Linked DNA regions of Nothobranchius furzeri. The protein of the gene in region 6 interacts with the protein of the main gene of each other region in a pairwise test. Links are inferred from orthologs where the notes say so. Each region holds a gene or a part of one and is shown on either strand. Other genes may lie near its edges.

What was found.
Region 1: the proteins of RNA-binding protein with multiple splicing (region 6) and ccnk interact in binary tests that used the Homo sapiens proteins (3 or more experiments, as listed by UniProt). The two-hybrid records come from large-scale screens. The link is inferred for Nothobranchius furzeri from reciprocal best matches to the Homo sapiens genes RBPMS and CCNK.
Region 2: the proteins of RNA-binding protein with multiple splicing (region 6) and ntaq1 interact in binary tests that used the Homo sapiens proteins (3 or more experiments, as listed by UniProt). The two-hybrid records come from large-scale screens. The link is inferred for Nothobranchius furzeri from reciprocal best matches to the Homo sapiens genes RBPMS and NTAQ1.
Region 3: the proteins of RNA-binding protein with multiple splicing (region 6) and alpha-1,6-mannosylglycoprotein 6-beta-N-acetylglucosaminyltransferase B interact in a two-hybrid assay, tested with the Homo sapiens proteins (2 studies listed by BioGRID and IntAct). The two-hybrid records come from large-scale screens. The link is inferred for Nothobranchius furzeri from reciprocal best matches to the Homo sapiens genes RBPMS and MGAT5B.
Region 4: the proteins of RNA-binding protein with multiple splicing (region 6) and metal transporter CNNM3 interact in binary tests that used the Homo sapiens proteins (3 or more experiments, as listed by UniProt). The two-hybrid records come from large-scale screens. The link is inferred for Nothobranchius furzeri from reciprocal best matches to the Homo sapiens genes RBPMS and CNNM3.
Region 5: the proteins of RNA-binding protein with multiple splicing (region 6) and tfg interact in binary tests that used the Homo sapiens proteins (3 or more experiments, as listed by UniProt). The two-hybrid records come from large-scale screens. The link is inferred for Nothobranchius furzeri from reciprocal best matches to the Homo sapiens genes RBPMS and TFG.
Region 7: the proteins of RNA-binding protein with multiple splicing (region 6) and phf1 interact in binary tests that used the Homo sapiens proteins (3 or more experiments, as listed by UniProt). The two-hybrid records come from large-scale screens. The link is inferred for Nothobranchius furzeri from reciprocal best matches to the Homo sapiens genes RBPMS and PHF1.

What each region holds. Positions count from the first base shown.
Region 1 is NC_091742.1:21,076,091-21,079,057, forward strand, and holds the end of ccnk (cyclin-K), read left to right. Parts: intron 1-1,058; coding exon 1,059-1,130; intron 1,131-1,440; coding exon 1,441-1,964; 3' UTR 1,965-2,467; downstream 2,468-2,967. UniProt on the Homo sapiens protein: Regulatory subunit of cyclin-dependent kinases that mediates activation of target kinases.
Region 2 is NC_091759.1:9,346,768-9,350,169, reverse strand, and holds ntaq1 (protein N-terminal glutamine amidohydrolase), read right to left. Parts: upstream 2,196-3,402; 5' UTR 2,102-2,195; coding exon 2,037-2,101; intron 1,848-2,036; coding exon 1,748-1,847; intron 1,537-1,747; coding exon 1,486-1,536; intron 1,404-1,485; coding exon 1,255-1,403; intron 1,185-1,254; coding exon 1,060-1,184; intron 972-1,059; coding exon 829-971; 3' UTR 501-828; downstream 1-500. Other genes in the region: ribosome biogenesis protein bop1, read right to left, coding at 3,150-3,303, 3,390-3,402. UniProt on the Homo sapiens protein: Mediates the side-chain deamidation of N-terminal glutamine residues to glutamate, an important step in N-end rule pathway of protein degradation.
Region 3 is NC_091752.1:49,948,782-49,952,281, forward strand, and holds part of alpha-1,6-mannosylglycoprotein 6-beta-N-acetylglucosaminyltransferase B, read left to right. Parts: intron 1-2,208; coding exon 2,209-2,282; intron 2,283-2,946; coding exon 2,947-3,114; intron 3,115-3,500. UniProt on the Homo sapiens protein: Glycosyltransferase that acts on alpha-linked mannose of N-glycans and O-mannosyl glycans.
Region 4 is NC_091746.1:39,517,447-39,520,542, forward strand, and holds part of metal transporter CNNM3, read left to right. Parts: intron 1-1,405; coding exon 1,406-1,536; intron 1,537-2,016; coding exon 2,017-2,143; intron 2,144-2,338; coding exon 2,339-2,383; intron 2,384-3,096. UniProt on the Homo sapiens protein: Probable metal transporter.
Region 5 is NC_091754.1:27,495,393-27,499,323, forward strand, and holds the start of tfg (protein TFG), read left to right. Parts: upstream 1-1,131; 5' UTR 1,132-1,273; intron 1,274-3,124; 5' UTR 3,125-3,153; coding exon 3,154-3,337; intron 3,338-3,444; coding exon 3,445-3,528; intron 3,529-3,931. Other genes in the region: jagn1a (protein jagunal homolog 1-A), read left to right, coding at 1-304. UniProt on the Homo sapiens protein: Plays a role in the normal dynamic function of the endoplasmic reticulum (ER) and its associated microtubules. Required for secretory cargo traffic from the endoplasmic reticulum to the Golgi apparatus.
Region 6 is NC_091742.1:66,831,331-66,834,830, forward strand, and holds part of RNA-binding protein with multiple splicing, read left to right. Parts: intron 1-1,588; coding exon 1,589-1,716; intron 1,717-3,500.
Region 7 is NC_091745.1:62,283,622-62,287,121, reverse strand, and holds part of phf1 (PHD finger protein 1), read left to right. Parts: intron 1-1,205; coding exon 1,206-1,284; intron 1,285-2,356; coding exon 2,357-2,472; intron 2,473-3,500. UniProt on the Homo sapiens protein: Polycomb group (PcG) that specifically binds histone H3 trimethylated at 'Lys-36' (H3K36me3) and recruits the PRC2 complex. Involved in DNA damage response and is recruited at double-strand breaks (DSBs).

The DNA.
Region 1 (2,967 bases), about 46 Mb from region 6:
AGAAAAGCAATTTTAGTATATTTAATGTAATGTTCAAATTCAAGATACTATTATTATATGATCCTGAGGAAGCTTTTTAATGCTTTATTTGTCCATAAAGTTCAATACCATTCATTTTCAGTAGAATTGGCTGACAATACAATGGAATACAAACATTAACCAGCAGATGTCCTCCCAGAGTTTTGAAGCATCGAACCTTGAACCTTTTTTCAATACAATTGGATTGTAAAGCTTTGTTGGTTCAAAAGGCTTCACATCATCATCACTACTGAAAATGAAGAGGGCTGATATTTCAGCAAGGCACAAGGCCAAGGAAACAATGAATTGGTTTCAGAGAAAGGAAATCAAGTTGCTCAAATGGCCCAGTCAATCACCTGATCTAAACCCCATAAAACCGGGTATTCAGTTTGGGTCCTCGAGGGCCGGTATCCAGCACGCTTTAGTGGTTTCTCTGGTCCAACACACTAGATTCAGTTGTTGAATCACCTGTGCCTGTCGATTAGCTGCTGATTGAAATCAGGTGTGTTGAAGCAGGGTTAAAACTAAAAGGTGCTGGATACCAGCCCTCCAGGCCCAGAATTGAATACCCCTGCCACAGCATCTATGGAGAGACCTGAAGATCAAAGTTCATAAGAGGCCCAAGGAACCATCAATATTTAGTGTTTGTGTGGAAGAATGGGCCAGATGGCTGGTCTCTCCATACATGCGGCTTCTAGAAGCTGGAGTCACCAACAAAGGCTTTCCTACAAACTATTAAAGCGTGTTTGATACTTGTTCACTTTGTCATTTCACTTTATTATGACTTACTCAACTTATAAACTTAAACATTCTGATTTCTTTGTATGAATTCAATATTTGGCTTGATGAAAACATCTGGTGGACATTTTGTGTCAAATCCCACTTAGAAATATCCGAGAGTGTTTTGGGATTATATCGCTGTAAAACTCACTTATTGCACCTTTAAAATACAGCAAGACATAAATACTTATTCTGGCTGTGAAAAATCACCTTAATGAACATCTGAACACATCTTTAACACATTCTTGATCACTTTGCAGAACAAGCTGGGTCAAAGATTCCCAGACTGGAGAGCCCCATGCCCCCGCTGCCCACTCCCCAGCCCCCCCCAGGTGACCACCTCTGGTTGTTGTTCACCACCTTTGTCTCTTTTCTAAGTTAGAAGCAAGTTTGACTTGTGCTTGTTTGAATTCAGGTCATGATTAATATTTAATAACGCTGAAATCACTAAGGAAAAAGCAGCTGCACTTGGAACGGTGTTTAATAAAGTTATTCGGTAGCTGGGACCGGACATAATCCCAGCTGGTCTGGCCTAATCTCCAGACCTATGTGATTAGCGGCTAAGCTCGTTAACGAGACCTCCTGTGAGCCTGTCTGAGAACCGAGGTCATTTCAGGTCACGGTTTTTGTTTGTTCTTCCAGCTCCTCCTGCTGAAGCAGAACCAGGAAGTGAAGCTGCACCACCTCCTCCACACGCCCCACCTCCTCACCAGCCTCCTCCACTTCCCCACCGGCCTCCTCCACCTCCACCTTCCAACTACCTCATGTCCACCACCAGCTCCTACATGTCTGGAGAGGGCTACCAGAGCTTACAGTCTATGATGAAGACAGAAGGTCCCTCCTACGCCCCCATGCCGCCCAGCTACATACCTCCAATACCCCCTTATCATCCTGTCTATCCTCCAGCTGCAGCGCCTCCCCCACCGGGTCCTCCGCCTCCTGCCGCCTACCCACCGCCCAACCTAACAGCCTATCCACCTCCAGGATACAACAGCTATCCTCCTCCACCACCTCCACGTATGCCACCTGGACACGTGCCCCCTCCAGGGATTGGGCTGCCACCTGCAGGGTACCCTCCTCCACCTCCTGGTCCCCCAGGACAGTCACAAATGCCCCTGCCACCCCCACCTGGCATGCCTCTGAACCGCAGTGGGTGGATGAGATGAGGATGAAGCATTCTGACAACCAGGAAGTTGTTTTTCTGCTACAAACTAAGAGAAGTTGAGTTTTTCTGGGATAACTGCGGGGTTGTGCTGATGAGCTGTCAGGAAAAGGAACTTGAAGTAAAAAGTGATGACTTACTGTGTGATGAGAAACAGGTTTGTAGAAACATCTCTAGGATGGCTCTCAGAAAACCTGCCTTCAGGATTCATGAGACTGTACAAAGAAATATCTTCCTTTTTTATTATTGTTGCTCTCACTCATGCTTTTCTTATTTTTCCACCTTAGAAGTTCTCCAGTTATTGTTGAGTAATAAAATGGTCCACAGCATGGTTGCGCTTTCCTTTGAGTTGTTCTGTCAGTCAATACATGGATTTTTAACGGCTTACATTCAGCTGTGGTAAAACAAGAAAATTCAGCAACATGTTAACAATTAAGAATAGTGGTTCAAATTATTGTGGACAATTGGGAGATTTGTCATTAAAATATTAAAAATACCTCAACTCTGCAGGATCTGTGTGCAGTATGGTACTTCACCAGCAGAGGGCAGCCTAACCCAGCCATTCTTTTTGAAATGAAGACAAAAACTCAGCAAATTTTAGCAACTCGTTTATTCAAAGTTTTCTAAAAGTGGCCTATTTCATGTTTTCTCTGGTCAAATGTTGATATCAGTAAAAGGAGTCATGCTAGTTGCTATGGCTACGGGGGAAACACTGATGCTGTAGATTCTAGGGGGGCTGTACTGGTTTTAGTAAATGGGCAGAAGACAAGAAGCAGTAAAGATGCATAAAACAGTCTGGTTTTCAGGTCAAAACCCAGCTACCAAACGTGTGTTAGAAATTCAAAATTGTATCATGGCTTCAATCAGTTCCTAGAAAAAAAGGACACTTTTACAAAATAGTACTATTGATTAGTTTTCTTCCTTTCCCACTCATTGTGTTAAAAGGAGCCTCCTCAGAAATGTTCTCATTTGGAACAGAACACGAGATGGGACGGAGTGGGCTGTCG
Region 2 (3,402 bases), on a different chromosome or scaffold from region 6:
TCCAGAGCCGCTGGTTGCCGACCCCCGTCCTGGTCAGAGTTGTTGTTGTCGCTCATGTTTGTTCTAAAGAGATGTGCATTTCTCAAAGGGACAAAGAACTCAAAAGAAAATAATCTTAAAGATTGTTTGATTGATAAAATAAAACAGGTTGCTTACTTTATCTGGATGTTGCTGTCCTGAGCTTCTTCCAGAAAAGAATTTGAAACCAAACATGCCTGATCCTCCTGTTTAAACCAGTGTCCTAACCACTCCTGCCATACTGAACACAAACATATGACAGGTGAAAGTGATTGCACAAGTTCCACCAGTCATCTATAACGGTAAATAGAACTTATACCCAAACACAAATCTGCTGTTAACTAGAATCTGCATAATTTCACCAAGTTTTAATTGTTAAAATATTCTGGAAACCAAGATTCAAATTGACACCAAAAGTTACAATTATACATTTAATTTTTATTCTATCATTGCGCTACAGAGACAGAGAATCCAACGCGATCAAAGATTAAATAAAATCTTTTTATTTCTCAGGAACTCAGGTGAAATCAAGGTGCTGATGCTCAAAGTTCTCACAGGCGTGTGTGATGAAGGATCACTTCAGTTTCCAGATGAATCTGTGACATGGCTGAAGCGCTGTCGTCGTCATGTTTCTGGTTTCCTCTGAGCTTCAGAGGCCAAGGTGAAACTCAAGAGAGGTCAAACGAGATGCAGCTCAGCCCAAAACATAAAGTTCAGTTCAATGTTTGTCTCAGTCTCTCAATCATTTCAGATTAAATGTTCATAATAACATAAAAGCTAATCACAAAACAGCAGCTGCCAGGATGCTGATCAGGATTGAGCTGATGATGAAGATGAAGAGGTGGTGGAGGAGCAACCTAAGTATTTCTGTAGAAACTGATTCAGACTGAAAACTGTCCCCCAGCCAACAGCTGGGCTCATGCTGATGAAGTCATCCAGGTTCATCTGACACCCTGAAGAGGAAATGCACCAAAAGTACAAAATCACCTTTTCCTAAGACAGGAATCAGAAAACATGCTCCACATTAACTTGATTTGTTACCAGTGGTCTTTAAAGGGGGGTAAGAGGGAGGGGGCTTCTTCCAGCTCCCATCAGGGTTCTTCATGTGAGTTCGATCAGACGCAAAGTTCAAGAGGAAGCTCTCAGCAGGAATCACACGCAACTTCCTGTCACAGATATGAGAAGGTGTTGGTGATTTCACTCCAGTGCATTACCTGTGTAATTCAGCAGTGCTACCTGTGATATTCAGGTTTGATGTGGTGGTCTGAGCGGAGGGCCTGGCTGCCATAAAGCCTCAGATTGCATGGGAATGACAGCTCTGTGTCCAGATCATAAACCAGAACCTCCGACTGAGGATCCACATGAAGCAGGATCACATGGTAGTCCTAAAACACCCAAAAAAACATGATTAACAATGTATTATTTTAATGCTCTGAGGCCACTTTAACAGGAAGGAGAATCATAGACCCAGATCACTGGATGGTCAGCGTGTCCAGACTTCTGCTTCCACAGAGGAACCTGAAGGAGAACAAATAACATCACTGATCAGCAGCAGCAGCAGAAGTCAGATCTTAGTGAAAATGTTGATTCTTTATACAAACTTGGCAAATTTAAGGGGATTCGTGATGATTTGTTAAACTTTAGACCTGTTGAGACTAAATCTGTTGAGTTAAATATGTTTAAAGGGTTTTGTAACACATGACAAACTTCTCAGAGCTGATCTTCTCACCATTCTGTTGTCATTAGAGATGAAAACCACAAAGAGCTGTTCCAGTGGAGCAGTCCTCGCTGTTTGAACAAACTCACACAACTTCCACACATTCTCCTCACTGCAAAGCAAATTAAGACATCACTAATCAAACAGCAAAAATAATCTAATAATAATAAAATCATATCCATAAGAATGTAGCAGCTACCATTTAAGCCAACTGCGTTTTGCTACAAAATTTGATGAATAATTATGTAAAACCCAACAAACTGGAGTTTTTTTTAATCATGATGTAACAGAATGGATTTACCAGTAACAGCTGGTGTAAACACAGAACTCACGACTCGGTGTGATTCGATCCTTTACTGCCTTCATGGTTCGGTGTTACACCGAAACCGCTCCGACGGTGTCACTTCGAAATGTGTCCCCATGGTTGAAAACTCTTGTCACATCAACTTCATTATAAAGAAAATTGTTTGTTTTTTGCTACAAAATTTGACGAATAATTATGTAAAACCCAACAAACTGAAGTTTTTTTCATGATGTAACAGAATGGATTTACCAGTAACAGAACTCGCGGTTCGGTGTTACACCGAAACCGCTCCGACGGTGTCACTTCGAAATGTGTCCCCATGGTTGAAAACTCTTGTCACACCAACTTCATTATAAAGAAAATTGTTTGTAGTAAATATTCTAAGAACATTTTGCAGACCCTGGTACCCGAATATTTTCGTTAAACATAGTTCCCGCTTGTGTTCAGCACAACTGATACATAAAGAAAGCTGATATTCTTAGAGATTTTATTCTTAAGAGAGGCCTTTAACCTGGTTAAACAACAGATACAACAAATATTCCCAGGCCTGCGCAGTCGTGCATTTACATGGTTATTACAAATACTTTTACTATTAGAAACAAGCTTTGTACAAAATACCCAAAAACTTGGTTCAAGTTAAAAATATCCATAATGATGAAATTTGAAGCACAAATACTTTATATTTGGGATAGTCCTAATTTCTGCCTCTGGCAACAAAACAAACAAACAAAAAAAAAAAACCTTTAGAGCTGTAATTATGTTGATAATTTTAGATAATTTTATTTCCTTTTTGAAAGCTGTAATAAATGGTCTTGTTTTTCAAAAAGGTAACCGCAACACAAACTCCTTTAAAATGAAGGCAGACAAATAAAACTACATTTTGTAGGTTTTAAAAAAAGAATCAATAATTCTCCTAGTTTTAACATACAGAGACAAATTGTAAGAACAATATATTTTATTGAAAACAATAAAATACATTTTATTGAAAACAATAAAATAAACTACAGAAAACAAAACAAAAAAAAAAGAAGAAGGTATCCTGGTAATCAGTCCATTAGGGAGGTCAGACTCCTCCCACACACACACAGAGCTGCTGCTGGTTAAAACACTTTAGGTGAAGAGCCGGATGGTGGCGTCAGCTCCTGAGGAAAAGACCCACGGCTGAGTGGGGTGAAAGATCACGTCCAGAACACCAAGATCGTGGGTGATCACATGACCTCTGAGAACTTTTACAGGTACTATCAGCGGGTTCTGAAGCAGGTCGCTGGAAGAGACGGCGGCAAGTTTTAATATCCTGTCTTTTATAAGTCTTGTTATGAATAGATTTTCAGGGTGTGTTTGTGGTCTTACTTGTAAACAGTCC
Region 3 (3,500 bases), on a different chromosome or scaffold from region 6:
CTAGTTTCGCCAGCCTTCTCTAATAACCTTCATTCTCAGCTACTTCACACAACAGAAAATAGAAATCCAGTGAATTAACAATTCAGTTTCCTCATGTTTTTTCTCAATCCTCAGCGTGCACTTGACTGTACACAGTTTAACACACTGTCTCATTAAAACATGCCAGAACTTTTCTCCTCTCGTCATAATGTCTGATATGTTATTAAAATAAGGCAGGGAAGAGCCTGGCTTTGACGGCGAGAGGTAGTAGCGTGTTTCCTTGTGAGAGGTCTGTCGTTATCATGCTAATCTGATAGAATGGCTGGCAATTATTTGTCTGTGTGATTGTGCTCTTTGACGGTTGGCAGCAAGCCAGTGGAGGAGCTGCAACCGCTCCTTTAATTAGGCTTACTGGTGCCGGGCTTCAAGGAAAAGAAAGGGGGAAGGAAGGAAGGATGGGGAAAGGTAGCAAGGGTGTAAGGAGAGGGAAGGAAAAAATATTAAGGGAACAGAACAGGAGGTAGGATGATTATTTGTGTGATTCATGCTAATGTGGTATTTGAATAATAAACCCAGTGAGTGAGTTTACAGACTTGGCCATTCAGCAGGTTTAAGAAAGCTCTGACTCCAAGTCACCTGGTCTCATCAATAACAGCAGTGCACGCACTTCTGGCCAAAAAAAGCAAAGGAAAAAAGCAAGATCGCCACTTGCATTTTACAGAACAAATAGCAACTCGAGTCTTCCATCACATAAGCACCGCAGTCATTAACACGTTTTAGCTCCCAGCAAGTGATTTTACTCCAAGCCAGTGAGCAGGTAACTTCCTGGAAGAAGTGGTTGTTTATGAAATTTCTCTCCTGAGAAAATACGATAGATCAGTATTTTATTGTGAAATGAGAGCATGATATTTTATTTTTGAACTTTTGCAGACTCTAGGGCCAGCAAGGATGTTCTGGTGATGGTTTTATGCTTTGGTGTAAGTCAACTATACGCAAGGGGAAGAAAATCAAATGAACTGGGGAAAAATGCCAAAACAATCATACCATGAGATGTTTCCAAAAGTCAAAGCTACGGGTAGTTTGGTTGTGTGTCTCTGGCCAGGTGCATGAGCTAATAAGCAGTCAAAACCAATTCAGAATATAAACAATCAATGCAAATAAACTATACTCGACAAGTACGCAAGAGCATACTAGCGTACTTGGGTGTGGAAATATTGCTGTTTGTGCTGATGATGCTGCAGTTCTCCTTTTGAACACCATGTGCCACTAATAAGATATCAATACCAGTAAATAGCAGGAATGGCAGAAGAAGAGTTTATCACTGTAAAAAGTGGTGCTTCTCATGTCAAGGAACCTTGCTTTGATATCTTGGTCCCGCCCCGGTTTTCTAGGAGATACATCAGGAACGTCAAGGCGTGTTCCTATGTTCATGTTCTACCGAGGCGTGTTTTCTATTTGTTAGCCGTTGCTAAAGTTGCTAAGCAAGCAGTGTTAATGGTTGGGTTGCATTGCTGTTAGCCTGGCCTGCCAGACTCGTCCTCTGTTTAATTCTGTGCAGAGAAAGGGTCTGGGAACTCTCCTACTCAAATAACCCCACCCCCTGAGAATCCTAACCGAGCCAATCAGCGCTGAGTAGCCTACGTCACACTCCACAACACCGAGTTTGTCATAAACATGGAGACTGAAGCGTCGTTTTCTCTTTCCTCTGTTCTAAATGACTTGGAAATGTCTTTAAATCCACAACAAGTAGAAGCGCTAAAAGCCTTTCTTCTAAAAAAAAAAAAGATTTTTCGCGCCGTTGCCAGACGCCATTTTTGACTTCAGCTAAAAATTTACAGCATTGTGCGGTGCAGTCTGCATTTCCGTCCTCTGATTGGTTATTTTTGAGCTGGCTAGCCGCCCCTCATGTGCCTCTCTGCCTGTGAGTAACCAGACTCTTTCTCTGTCCAGAATCAAACAGAGGATGAGTCTGTCAGGCCAGGCCACATTGCTGTAGCCAATCAGAAGCAAGTTGTCCAAATATCCATGGATAAGACTCCAAATCCTGCCGTTTTCTGCCCACCTTTTCTCTGCCTGACTTCTCCTTCCTGAAAAAGGAACACCAGAGTTTTTTTTCCTACAGAGAACAACTCCCAATGCATTCATTTATACTAGAAACCACACACAATTTATTAAAAAAATAGTGAATGAGAGCTTTGAGTGAAATACTTCTTACTTCTTTCTTTCCAGTTCGGGAAGGAGCCTTCGGATTATGTGAAACTCCCAAAGATCCCCGTTACCCAGACTGCACCAGCAAGATGGATGTAAGTCCTAACGCCCAACTGAACAGAAAGCATTTATCACTTTTGTCATTTCTTAATGACTTCCCTGGGCAAAAATTCACCATCCTCTTTTTAAATAAATTGTTTGAAATATTTGAAAACTCAGAGTCTGAAAGCTACCGTACATAGGTGTGGATGGCAGAAAAGGCATGTGTTACACAGAGAAGAGTGGAGTAAAAAGTTATGTCTAATTGGCATTTTGTAAACTACACAATGTAGTAGAGCACTACATGCTATTTGGTAGATGCAATAGCAAAGGGGAAATAAAGCCCACAAAACTAGAGCATGTTTAAAGTGTGCTGTTCGTTAATCATGTCTGGAAAGATTCAGTCTTTGTCCAACAGACTGGAACATCAGATGTATATAAATAGCTCCAACAGCTGGGATATTGTAACCATGGTAACATATAAGAGGTAATGTTTGTACTCATCAGTGATGGAAGTAGGTCTTAATTGTCCTGTTGTTTAGTTTTGCACCAAATATATCTCGACATACAAAAAGGCTTTACTTTGTCATTGGAGTTGATTTGTGAGGAAACATTTGTGTTACAATCCATCTGCCTCGTATCCTGAATGTAGAAAGTGAAAATGCACAAATGTAGTAGTGAATACATGAAGTGTTCCACTCTCCAACCTTTATTGTCTAGTGGATGCGCACTCGTTGGACCTCCGACCCCTGCTACGCGTTTTACGGCGTTGACGGCTCCGACTGCTCCTTCCTCATCTACCTGAGTGAAGTGGAGTGGTTCTGCCCCCCGCTGGCCTGGAGGAACCAGACCATTACCCCCACCCAGAGGCCTCTCCCCAAGAAACAGGTAGCATTCGACTTCCACACCATTAGTTTTACGTTCACTATAATAACACAGTCGGCTGAAGAGGGGGAACATCGAACATGGCAATAATGTCATTTAGAGTGAAAACATTAGCCACTAATGCAACCACATTTGTGAAGTGCCTGGAAGGTACAAATAAAACAGGAAAACACAGTTGGTGAAAAAGCCCAGAACATCTAGGATGTTAATCTAGATTATGTAAACATTAAAATAATGGCTAATTTCTAGGAAGTAATAATGGGTGTGTAAAAATCTTTACTTAAATAAACATATAAATAATTTAAAATGAATCAGTAACTAATTAAAAACAATATTTCAACATCACATATAAAAGGGATATTACAGATGTGTTAAAAGTAACAATTTTA
Region 4 (3,096 bases), on a different chromosome or scaffold from region 6:
CCTCATCTGTGCCCCAGACAAGCTGGTTCCCAAAGTCAGAGACTCTCTTGGTCAGCTTGGTTCTCACACCAAACCTTCTGTCAGGAATCTTGGCGTGACCTTTGACCCAGCTCTCACCCTGGATTCTCATGTCAGTTCTCTTGTTCGCTCTTCCTTCTTCCATCTCAGGAACATTGCTAAGCTGAGTCCCATTCTGTCCCGCTCTGAACTTGAGACAGTTCTCCACACCTTCATCTCCTCACGCTTAGACTACTGCAACTCTCTTTTCACGTGTCTGAGCAGAACCTCCCTGAACCGTCTACAGGTGGTTCAGAATGCCTGTGCTCGGCTTCTGACCAAGTCCTCCAAACACACCCACATCACCCCGCTTCTCCTCCAGCTTCACTGGCTGCCAGTCAACTTCAGGGTTCATTTCAAGATCCTGGTTCTGGTCTATAGGGCCTTACATGGACAAGCACCATCTTACATTGGTGGTCTTCTTAGTCCCTACACCCCCAGCAGGTCCCTGAGGTCCAGTGACCAAAGCCTACTGGTTGTGCAGCACCAGGCTAAAGACCAAAGGTGACAGATCATTTGCTGCTGTGGCCCCCAGACTCTGGAACCCTCTTCCCCTGAGCCTGAGATCAGAGGACTCAGTGGTCTCCTTTAAAAAGCAGCTGAAAACTCATTTGTTCAAGCTGGCTTTTGTGTGACCTTCTTCACCACTCTCTCTTTATTCTGCCCTCCCCACCTATTCCACCTTCCTCAGGATCCACTGATTTCCCTTTTTCCTATTCACTCTCTCTCCCTTTCTTCACATTTTTAAATCAAAATTGTCTATTTTTGCTCATTTTAAATATATTTTCAATCATTTTCTAAATTAGTTTTTATATTTTACATTTTTTATTTTTGTAAAGCGTTTCATGATTTTTATCTTGAGAGGTGCTATAGAAAAGATCTTTTCTTCTTCTTGATCTGAGAGCGAAGAGAAGCTGGGTTTTAGAGGTCATGAGGTCAGGACGTGTGCTGAAGCAAACTTAACTATGTAGAAATGAGAAAAACCCTGTTATTCTGGTCAAAAGCAAAACAACATTGATGAGATCCAATCATATGCTCACTGAATCAGAAACATTTTCAAATAGCTTGTGCAAAAGATAAAAAACTAAAAAAAAAACGTAGGAAAAGACTAAGAAAAAACTTTTGAGTTTCCATTAAATCAAATATCTGGAGTTTTTCTCAGAGGGCATGTTTAAAAGATGTTTTTAGCTTTTTATGAATTTCTTTTTTTTGTGAATCCTGATTTTCAGTGGCTGATTGTTTCAACACTGCAGACATGCTGATTTGTGTGTGTGTGTGTGTGTGTGTGTGTGTGTGTGTGTGTGTGCATGTGTGTGCGTGTGTGTGTGTGTGCGTGTGTGTGGTGCAGTGCATCAGTCTCCAGTGGCGACCCAGCGCCACTCTCCCAGGGATCCGTTTGAGTCTGCAGACGCCTCCAGCTCCTCCAGCTACTGTCCCGACTATACGGTCCGAGCTCTCACTGACCTGCAGCTCATACGGGTGTGTATGCAGCATGCACCAGTGTTTGTTCTCACACTGACGGCATTACGTCATCTTCACAACTATGTGCAGTTCCAGAATGAACCAGCAGGTGTCAGTCATCACATGAGCAGGGTGGACTAGACTTCAAAACATTTCAACAACAATCTAGAGCAAAAGCAAAAGAAGTTCCGACTAAAACCAAGATGGTAGCTCAAACTGATGGTAGCCTGAGATTTGTATTTCAGATCAACTTTGTTCCTCCTCCTTCTCCAGATATGATTATGATATGTAAATAAAAGATCCGTATGTGTGCAGACCCTTTTTATATATTTTCTAAACAGGAGCACTTCTCCGGGCCTCTGGAGGTATTTTGGGCTCTTCTTTGGACCTCATTTTCAGGCTTTATAGCAGAGTAGGACATAATATACACAAAGCCAGTAACACAAGTAATTATGACATTTGTGTGTGTGTGTGTGTGTGTGTGTGTGTGTGTTGCAGGTGACGCGTCTGCAGTATCTGAATGCTCTGATGGCGTCTCGTTCCGGACAGAGTCCAGACCCACCGGAGATCAAAGTCCTGCCCAACAGTCAGACAAAGCTGCTCAATGAGAGAAACACTGCACAAGGTAGCTTAGCTCAAAGTGTTGTCTGACCTGCAGCCTCTGCTGCTTCGACAACCTCAGAACATTCTTGTGTTTCTGATGCCTTCGTAGAGTGTTTAGGACTGTGCTTTTCTGTTTCCTTCAACTGAACTAAAAATGTTTTCTCTCTCTCTTTCTTTTTCCTCCTTGTGTGCCTCCTCTTGTCTCTGGCCCACCCAGAGTTTCCTGTAAACTTTTCATTCTTTGACACCATTGAGAACTACTGTTAGTTTTTGTTGTCGTCATTGTTGTTTGTTTGTTTGTTAAATTTTTGCATGAGGTAAATCAAATTAACATACAGCTCACTCACTCAGATAACATCATGCTTCAGAGCTGTTTCTCTTCCCAGTGATACTCCTAATATGCTTTATTTTGTGCCCATAAATGTGTCAGTATGTGTGTGTGTGTGTGCGTGTGTGAGAGAAAGCAAAATGTGTGGGGTTTTTTTTCTACTTTGATTTTGTTTCCCTTAAACCATTCCCTGTTGAATTCCGTAGCTACAGCAGAAAACCCATTCCTTTCCCTTCACAAACCAGTGACTGCAACACACACAGCACAGAAAAGGTTATTTATCAACAAAGGCCACAGGCAGTGATGAACTGGTTTCTCTGGTTTCATATTGGAGGTTCTCAGGTAGTGAAGGACACTTGTCAATGTGACAGTTAAGATATTTTAAGTCTGTGGAAAAACTAATAAGCTTTTGTTATCTAGTGAACAACTTCAGTTTGAAGAAACAAGGATTAGTTCTGACCAGACTGACAAGCTAATGGCTAGTTAGTTAGCCCGTTGCCTTACACAGTTTTTAGAGAGATACTAAAAAGTAGTGCAGCAAAGGCAGCAGTAGCTCAGGAGGTAGAGCAGGTTGTCCAGTAATTGGGACGTTGTAAGATCGATTCCAGCTCCCACCAGAGAATGCTGCTGTAGTGTCCTTGGGCAGG
Region 5 (3,931 bases), on a different chromosome or scaffold from region 6:
CCCACTGCTCTGCAGCAGCCTATCACTACCAAAAAACAACATCAGCTACCTGGTTTTATCCATGATAAGTGCTGGGCTGTTCTCTATTGCACCTCTTATTTATGGAGGAATGGAGATGTTTCCCGTAGCACAGCAGCTCTACCGCCACGGAAAAGCCTACCGCTTCATTTTTGGCTTCTCAGCAGTCACCATTATGTACCTCATCATGGTGGTGGCTATTCAAGTGCATGCATGGCAGCTATATTACATGAAGAGTCTGCTAGACTCATGGTTCAACACCACGCAAGAAAAAAAGAAGAAATAATTAAATTAAAATATTTGTGATTAGGCAAAAATATCTGGTATATTTTAGCTGTGTTATTTTGAGGTCTGTTTTATTTTTATGACATAACATAAGTCTTTTGGTTTTATTGTTTTCCAACACCAAGTTTTTAATGAAGTATAATTCAATTTGAAAAATTGTATTCTCTGTTCAACTCTTATTATTTCCTGATACTAAATATAAGGCATTAAAATGGTTTGGGTTATGTTTTATTTTTTATGAAGATTATCGTTATTATAAGTTCTCACCTAGCACAATACAACTAGTTCACTGTGGTAAGGAGTAAAAAAGCAAATGTGGGAAACCAAAAATAAATTCCAATGTTTTTATTTCATTTTATTTATTTATTTATTTTTGCATGTGCAGGAACCTTGATGTTTGACTAATTTTAATTATGAAACATAATAAAACAGCACTGTTCAATAATTATATGTTTAGCATCACTTGATTATATTTTGTTTACAGCTTTGTCAAATAACAGTGAAGTAATACAACTTTGTAAACGTAGATGTGTATATACCAGAATGTTTTGCATTGGTAACATGATTTCATTAACTATAAATATAAAATATGCTTAGTAGTAATAAAAAATGGGTTACTTTAGGCAGTGTTTTGATTTTCTTTGTCTATAATTTTACAATATTGAGAAATGACTTCTTTTATTATGAAATTGCCTAATAAACAGATAGTATTCTATGTGGAAAAAATACGTTTACGTTAACATCCATGCCTGTGAACATAAATAATGACTTCATGCTTTGTAATGTTCCAATTTTAGGGTGGCACACTTTGCTGCCGTCTGCGCCTGCGCGTAAAGAGTGCCACGTACTGTTGACGTTGACTATCCGGAGAACACTTCCTGGGTCTAGCTAGGCTGGCTAAATATATCAAGTAATTTTCACGCTTTGGTGAGGCTTGTTAGGTACTGCGTGGTTAAGTCGTCTGATTCAGGTAAAATCCGCTATTTGATTCAGAGTTTCGCTGTAATATAATTGAGACCTAAGCACACGGGAATGTGTGTGTCATGATTGCATGTTCGCTGTGAAGCTATGTGGTTAGCGCTAACTGGCTAGTGCTAGCTCTGAGCTAACGTCACTTTAACGCCACTTAACTTTTTTCCAAGCAGCTTTTTAAGACTGTTTCGTAGAAAGTTATATTGTAAAAGAGTGAGACGTTCTTAGCAGGGTGAGGCTGGCACACTTGTACAAGTGGCATATACGGTCTTTCTTTAGCTTTGTTTTTTTCCAAATGTAGCTTGTCAGGAAATCACTGTTTACGGATTCGGTGATTTAAAATCAAGTAAAAATTGTCTGTTTTAGTGTAATATTCAAATGATGTGACATAAAAGTATAGTGTTGCTGTTTTTTTTTTTTTACTTTGCTTGTGTGATTTATATTGTGATTGTTGACATGTCAGTCTGTAAGTGGCCCGTCAAAACTTCAGCTGTCCGTGAATTCTGTGTCTAGCACTCAGCCAGCACCACCCCAATTACAGCCCTCTTACATTTGTCATTTGATTCTCATCTAGTACCCCTCTCCCGGTAGAAACCAGCTTTTTTTTTTTTGTTTACCAGTTTATGCTGCTGTGTACTAAACGTTAGCTACAACACAATCCCTAGCATCTAGCTAATTACCCATCTGGCCATGACTGCTAAAGCCGCAACATTTCTGGAATTCAATTCACAATGGGATTTTGTTCAGCCCACTGTATCAGCTGGCGACCACACATTAGCAATAAGTGACAGATTAATCAATCACGAACAGTGAAGTTTTGTTTAATGTAACATTTTATTTATATATTAGCAAATTTTTGGAATCACCGCAAAGTTAGGTGTCATAACTTCCACATTCATAAAAATGGCCATCAGTATTTTTTTCCCTATATTATTGAGTTTTGTTTTCAAATTTGAATTAACAGCAGGCAATCCTTTATAATTTGACTTCAACACAGCTGTGGTGATGCTGAATTGACCTCTAAAATCACAACTCTCATGGAAATGCATAATCAAGTGCCAGCTGTTTAAATTATTAAACATTTTATGAGTACCACTTATGAAAATGCCAATATCACATAGTACCACCTGTTTTCACAGACAATTGCAAAAATGTAATTGCAAGTTTTAGCTGTAATTTGCCCATTTTACATCACAGTTCAGTTTACAATCTCATATTTGACACAAATGGGCAAACATAACCCTTAATCCCATTGAAGTGTGCAGGTTTAATTTGATCATACTTTCACAAACCATAAGCTTTTTTCTAACCCATATGAAATGACACATTTGAAATCAGTCAGATTTCCTCACTGTATCTGTTGCTCACAAGTCCTACAAACGCCTCAGTTTGAGAATCGTGATCTAAGAAATCAGTTGCTGATAGTGAATTTTGACAACTTGGAAATGGTTTAATTTCAGCAGACATTTCAAACGGTTCTAATAATGGTGCTAAATTACTTTTTGGTACTAGACCAGTAAAAGGCTTCTCTTATCAAAGTGGTTCAGATTTATCTAAGTCAACAAGAAGGTTTGTAATCACTTAAGTGTGTTTGCCACATCACTGAGTAGTGTTTGACCCTTAGACTATGCAGATCCTAAGGTCGGTTTGTTCAGCAGGAGGCTGAGTTACAGCAGAAATGGCTCATTTTCAATGCAGTTGTAGTTTATTTGAATCAAACATACTTCCTATAGCATCCAACCATTTCTGGTATATGGCTAAATTAGAACTATTGATGTTCAGTGGAAAAAAAGAGCTTTAATAAAAGCAACTTACTTGTTTTTAATACTGCATCTCTTTTTGGACCAAGTGGTGGAGCCTTAGAGGTCAGACGGCAACATGAACGGCCAGCTGGACTTGAGTGGGAAGCTGATCATCAAAGCCCAGCTGGGCGATGACATTAGACGCATCCCTATTCACAACGAAGACATAACATATGATGAACTGGTGCTGATGATGCAGCGTGTCTTCCGAGGCAAGCTGCAGAGTAACGACGAGGTCACCATCAAATACAAGGATGAAGGTGAGTCAGGACACAGCTCAGGTGCCCGGGTTTCCCCTACTCTAATTACTTAAGAGTAAAATAATTGTAATATAAATTTCACCTGGTCTTTGTTTTTCCTTTGTCAGATGATGACCTCATCACTATTTTTGACAGCTCTGACCTCTCCTTTGCAATCCAATGCAGTAGAATACTCAAACTGACATTATTTGGTAAGACTTTGCGCTTGCTCTCCATGCCTCTGTCACATACTTTAAGCCTGAGTGGATTTGAATGGTCTGCAGATACATCAGCCAGCCACTAGAGGACAGTCTAGCTTATGTTTCACAAAACAAACCTCTGAATAAATGAACTCTGCTGATCTCCAATCACTAACCTTTGGTGGAGCTTCTGTGTCTCTGTGGTTGAGCAAACAAATAATGATTATAGAGGTTCGTAGTGCTGTTCATGCCTAAAGTTAAATGTTTATTAATTCTTGTCCCAATTTTTATTGAACAAAAGTCTTGAAAGTTGTTTAAGTTCTTGTTTCTCAGAGAGAAGAAAACTGGTAGCAAAGAGATGATTCCTAATTCTATATAAAGCTTCAAAAGGACCAATAAAACTGAAACTATCTTC
Region 6 (3,500 bases):
TAGCTGCTGCTGCTAGCCTGTAAAGCTTTCAGTTAATGCGTTGAAGGTAAGCAAATTAGAGTCACAAAGATGTTTTTTCCAACAAAGATTGAAGAAATTTGGGAAATTACAAGTCAGACTGAAGTAAGCTTTTAATTTGACTCAATAGCCATCCAAATACTAGCTTGGCAAGCTGTACTATATTTGTAAATGTATAGTATGGCCATGACCCATATGCAGCTCAGTCATGGGGCAGAAACTACTGTTTTCTTTCAAACTGTCTGCATGCAATTGGACAGCGCTAGGACCAATCAGAGCAACAAACAACATGATGGATTCATAGCAGCATAAATCAGACAACGAGGCCGTCCGCCATACACCGTAGAAGAAGAAGAAATATATTTCTGCTCATGTCTCAAAAAGGAACCCAAGTCTAAATCATACAAAGTTGATGCCAAAGCCATTTCAAATGAGCACCGTTGCTGGGCAGTGGTCATCTAAGCTGTAGAGTGTTGTGATTGGCCGAATCTACACTACACCAAGCCAATGGTAGGCTTGCTGAAGCTACAATGGAGCGTGGCCAAACCAACCTGCAGAGCAAACGTTTTTGTTGTCGCTACAGTTTGTCTAGAGCGCTAGGCTATCCAACCACAGCAGTTGCAAGCCACCAAGTTATTGCTAGCATCATTAGCTAACTCTAGTTTAAAAATATTTTAATGGTCTAACAAGTTATTGATCAGTATCCCCATCTAGGTAAGTTGCAATACTGCTATGTAACCATGACAACCATCTCAGCTGGGTGTAACTGGAGGTGCAAACGCACCGGTCACAGCACCTAGCTTAATTTTGGAAAGCAAAAGATTAAAATGAACACTTTAAGCACATTTCTAACAATAATTATTGTAAGGTCTTTTATTCATCCTATGAGCTACAGACTCTAAAGTAGACCAGCGGTTAAATTCAGGGCATACATTTTACAACAAATTTAAGATAGTCAAAACATAGCAACATATTTATGTTTTGGTGATATTAAATAGCTTATCTTATTGTATCATACACACATTATGCATGGATATCATAACAATATACTAAACATTCCTACTTCTTTATATTTTGTTAACAATAATTACAAAAAATAGTTTATTTTTCTTTGATATTTATCTCTGGAAAATACAAGGTCACACAGCTTTTCCTAACTGGGTTTACTGGAGGGTAGCTCTCCCTGCACTACTGGTGTGTGTGGGGACATGGGCTTACAGGAAACTGGTTTGGGCTTCAGAGCAGTACTCTATTGGGAAAGGCAGGATGTTTTAGCTTCTTCAGCTAAATGTTTTTACTCATCTTTATCATGACTTTAATGCTTTTATCGTAAAAAGACAATGAGGGAAACATGAGCAGGAATCTTTACAGGCTTGCTGTCAGCTGATCAGACATTTTTGGGCTTTGGTTTAAAGAATCACGATAAGAGGATTCAACTTCAGATACTTAATAGTCCCTCCCAGTGCGCACCTCCACAATCACCACCATCACTGCCACCTCCACCCTGCCTCTCTATCCACCCACCCATTCACTTGCCACTCTCCTCACTCCACTCCTCTTCTTTCCACAGATGAGCTCACAGTGCCTGCTCTATATCCCAGCAGCCCAGATGTGTGGGCGTCATACCCGCTGTACCCGGCAGAGCTGTCGCCAGCCCTTCCACCCGCTTTCACCTACCCCTCCTCGCTCCACGCTCAGGTAACCAACACCACCTGTTCCCCATTACCAGCCGTCGCTGCTCCTTCACCACCACCCAGTCAGCCCTCTGATCCCGCTCCATTATTTTTGGTTCTTATCTACACAGAGTAGCAAAGCTTTGTTTTTATTTTCGCCTACGTTATGTTGTAGGTGTCACTTCCCTTGCTGTTTTTCTGCGATCAGTAGAGGATGCCAGAAAGCCAGGTGGCAGCACGGCTTAGCTCCCTCAGGAGAAAGGAACAGCCAGGATATCGGAGAAGCCGGGTACCCTCCCTGTTGGGCTGTCTCCGGGAGGATGGAACAACAGATTATCAGATCTCTGATTGTCGGTCCGTCACTTTTAAAGGGATGGGCATGTTACTGAAACTCAGCAAACCTCTTCTGCAGCGGCGACCTAGCAGATCTTTGACCATGGTGTAACCAGCGAAGCGCGGAAGCCTCCGCTAGCTAGCCTCGGTCAACTTACCTTGCTCATGTTTCGTTACCCAGCCAGCCTCAACAACACGTTATAGTTCAACCCATCTTTGAGCAAACAGTGCTATGCGCTAGCTCTGATGCTCACGCTACCTGTCAATCAAATGTAATTATTTATAATTTCAAGCGTTTAATTACACCTAAAATGGAAGAGTGACAAAAAAATTCACCCATGAGTGTAAACTGGATCTATTAAACCTAAAATGGGTTTATGAACCAGGCGGTAAACATGTTTATTTCTGCTGTGAAGTTGGCATTTTTAACATGGGAGTCAATGAGGATTTCTCTGTTTTTGTTCCAGCACCTACCAGATGAGGGTTGAACTGCAATATTTGTCACTTCCGCGTTGACTTCATGTATTTGAAAAAATGACTGCCCCTTGAGATAAAAAAGCCTTTTAGAGCCCTAACAAGGAACAATTTTAAGATTTTTAGAAGAAATTAAACAGTACTTTTAAAACGTAATGTAAACCCAATTCTAAAAAACTAACTTGTTGTAAATGTTTTTTTAATTCAATTCATAAAATAAAATAGTAATCCAACTAAATCTAATAGTTACTTATTCACACCTCATAATCTAGAAACACAGCTACAGATTCAATTCAGTAATTTATATAGCGCCATCAAGGCACTTTGCAAAGCAAACATTCCAATTGAACATAATCAGCAGTGGCGGCTGAATTTTATTTTGGGTGTGGCACAGAAATGCCATCTGTTAGATGCGATATCCACATATCACCACTAGGGGATGCCAGTTTACCATTCTTATGATAGATTCCATGTTTTCTACCTCAGCAATGACAATAAAAAGGAAGGCTGAAAAGTAGCTAAATACACATATTGAGAAAAACACACAGTAGCAACAATAAGACATGATCCTGTCCTCAGAAGCAGCCATTTAAATTAAAGCCCAGTTTCTCCTCTTTGCAACAATATAAGCACCATCACTCTACCTGCAACAGTCCCGGAACTCAGCAGCAAAACAAACTAAGCTAATCTCATGAAGTTAAAAGCGTAAATTCTGTCTCACGTTTGCTGATTTTTGGCCATAATAATCTGTGGTATAGTAAAAAAAAACTACTTGATTCTGTAATCCAATGTCCCAACATCACACAGAGCAGGTGAATGTGCTTTTTTTTTACCCGCTGGAAAGATTTTATAACTCTCTGATGCCTCATTCCATCATTTTCTGGTTCCTCATAATAACAAAACTCCACGAGGTGTACTCAGCTGCTCTACAAGGACGGTGAACTGTGGAGAATTTCCGGTTCTGTCCTGATCTGAGCTGAGACTCTGCCCTGCCGGTCTTCT
Region 7 (3,500 bases), on a different chromosome or scaffold from region 6:
TAGTGTGTATGTGTGTGTGTGTGCGTGTGTATGGATTCAAAATGGAGTCTTGAATACAAGATGGCTGACCCCTTTGTCTGGCTAAAGTGTGGGTGGCAACTTGCACTTTAACTTCCAAAGCACTTAGAATCAGTAGTAACTTAACCTTAAATCACTCAAAACATTTCAAAAGATCATGAAACAACACAAAAGATTAATCACAAATTAATATCTTTTAGTTTCAGCCTGGCCATGACAGAAACCATTTTAAGATACCAAACAATGATCAATAAGCAGTTTATTCTTCAAAATGACCCGACGGACGTGTTTGGGACGAAAGAGGAAAACACGAAGCTACTTTTAAGCAATAGACGCGGTTTATTGCTTATTCGAGACTATAGAGGAAACGGGAGAAGGAAAGAATGAGAGAAAGAGATGAGTTTCTGATCACCAGAACAGTGAAGCGTCCCTCACTGTTTTGATTTGACGGTTCTCCGTGTTTCTCCGCAGCTTTCAGCGTCATCCGCCGGTTTGATGCTTTCTCCGTTGTTTGGCTCCACGAGTGTTTCTCCACGGCTGGACACAAAGAAAACGAAGTTCCTTTTGGGCTGAGTTTGACAACTTACAGCGTTTCTGAGAGCTGGATGGAGTTGTTGTTTCCCTCCGCAGTTCTGTGTCCTCAAACATCAGCTGGAGGGGAGCAGAAACGAGCAGATCTGATGGGCTTGCAGTTTAGTTTCCAGCAGTTCCGTGGCTCAACTTGGCACTTAGAGCTTCCGCGTGCTCAAAGAAGTCGGAGCGTTCGACAAGCGTGTCCTCACCGCCAGGTATCCTGGGCAAAAGAACAAGGTTTCTTTGTCTCTGCTGAAGATTTATGGTCTTAGTTTGCGGGAAAACTCCACGGCTTCCCGCACATGCGCAGAACGTGTTTCTGGTACTAGGCGGTGACGTCATCACAATGCTTCCGTGTGCAAAGCATCATGGGAAATGAAGTTTCTTGGCGCTGATGTGATTATTTGCTTTTCAGAGCAATTTAAGCACAGTCATTTTGGAGAAAATCACTGCATAGTAATTTCCTCATGAGGTCAGACCCTCAACAGATCAAAGGAAATACCCTGACATGTTAGAACCACCATCAGCAGACCCTCATGCAGCCATGATGAGAAATCAAACCCATCCAGAGAGGAAGGTGTTTGCTAATGTATGCGTGTGTTTTCTCCCCTCAGCCCATTGTCACTACCCTGCCAGAGAAGAGTTGGAGGGCCGGAGTCTCGTAAATCAAAGCGTCGCATCATGGAGACACAGGTCAGCGCCTCTGTCTCAGGAGGAGGGGGGTGGGGGTCTGGGCCACTATTCCTGGCTTACATTTTCTTCCTCTTATTTTTTTTAAATGCACCCAGGTAAACATCCTTGTGTGACCCAAATAACCCGTCATTCTCACAGAGCCGTCTCCTTCAGCCTTGCTGCTCCTTTCACACTCCGCTGCCTCTGTGTTTGTTCTCTCCTCCCAGCAGGAACCTTAAAGCCTGCTAATGTGTTAGAGAACACAAATAGATTAAAAGTAGCTTTGAGAAACGTGGTGGCGCTCCGCTAAAATGTATAATTCAGATCCAATCTTGCTAAAACCTGCTCTTGTATTTCAGCAACACCTGCGATTCAACGACACATTTATCAGCATCATCAGAGCCGATTCCCAGCGGACGGCTCTGAAACAAGCAGTCTCACATGTGCTGGTTACTATTTTTACTCTGCATTCTTAAGCGTGAACGTTCGTCGTGCTTTGTTCCTCCTACACATCGCTCTGATCTGTGTATGTGCACGTAGTGAAATCCTGGAACAATACGCTCTGCACTGCTCCTGTTTTTCTCTCCACTTTGGCTCATCCAAGCTCCATTGTTCTCCTCTGACGGATGCTAATCTCAGTCTGTCTTGGAGGAGTAGGTCTGAGGAAAGTGAGATGGGTAAGAATGCTGATATGCGGAGTCTGGGATCACTTCCAAGTGCACTTTGCAGTCAATTACATTTTGGCCAGGTGGCGCTGGCACCTTGACAGCGCTACTCTGACAGAACGTCTCTGTTTAAAGGTGCAGACATAAACCGAAGCCTCTGATTAATAATCTCCCATCATAACCGCCATGCTACAGAAGTGGCTCGGTGTGCTGCTGTGTGGTGACCACCTCCTAGGTGATGCTTTTACTTTGTATGAGTCAGCAGCAGCTTCCTCACTAACCCTTTGGGCTGTGGACAGTTTACAAAAAACACAAAATACCCCAAAACCTGAACTTGACACTCGAGCGAGCACAAAGGTAACAGTTTTGGAGGGACTGATGATGTTGGTTCAGACACCAGCTGATCCCTGTGTCTCCCCTCTGCCCAGACCTGTCAACCCCCGGTTACTGCCAACCCTGTTGAGCTGCTGCCATGTTGCCATGGCTACATGGGAGGAGCCAACCTTTACAACTCCAGGAAGTCGGAGGAGGAGCTTAACATGTGGTAAGGGCTGTCTGTACAGGTTGTTTTTGCTTTGTTCTCTAATATTATTATTTATTCTTATTTTTTTTCACCAGCTGAAGGTTAACCACAACACTTTGTTTTGAAATATTACTGATATGTGATCATTTCTTATCTTATGTTTTTTAACAACACTGGAAAAAAATAAATAAATACAACATACCTGAGTGTGGCTCACTGCAGCTCACTACTGAATGCTTTTGTTTAAATATTTATGTGGTATTTATTTTCACAATAACAAGAAATGTATTTTTTGCATTCCTATAAAACATATTTTCCAGGTCCACTTACATTTCAATTAAAGCTACAACCCAGAGTATTTTTTTCTCAGTGTCACCATCTAGAGGCTCACAAGTGTATCTCACATTTTTTCTCACCATTTTTGTATTCACAGCCAAAATCAATGCCTCTCGTTCATGAACGTGCACCTCTAGCTGGATAACAGCATTAAAATGCACTGTTATATTACTATTCTCACTTTATACTGTTCATTTATAAATTCCTATGTACAGTTCCTTCTAAAAAAAATTAGCATATTGTGATAAAGTTCATTATTGTCTGTAATGTACTGATAAACATTAGACTTTCATATATATTAGATTCATTACACACAACTAGGGATGCCCCGATCAGGTATTTTTGCCCTCGAGTACGAGTACGAGTCATTTGATTTTGAGAATCTGCCGATACAGAGTCCCGATCCGATACTTTTGATACATAAAAAATAAATAAATAAAGAAAAGGAAGAAACAGTTCCATAATGTTCCTTATTTTTTATTTAATTCACTTTTTATTTTAATCTGTGAGGTAGCTTGAACAATCAATTAATAAATAACATAAATTCTTCACTTTTGGACTTTATTGCAAATTTAAAAAGTCTTAATATAAAAACAGATAGCACTTCAACTTAAAATACCTGGCAGGGGTCTATTTTGCCTCGGCCCCCAAAATGCTTAGATACGTCCCTGGGCATGGGATGGAGTTTTGAAGATGATCTGAATTGTATCAAC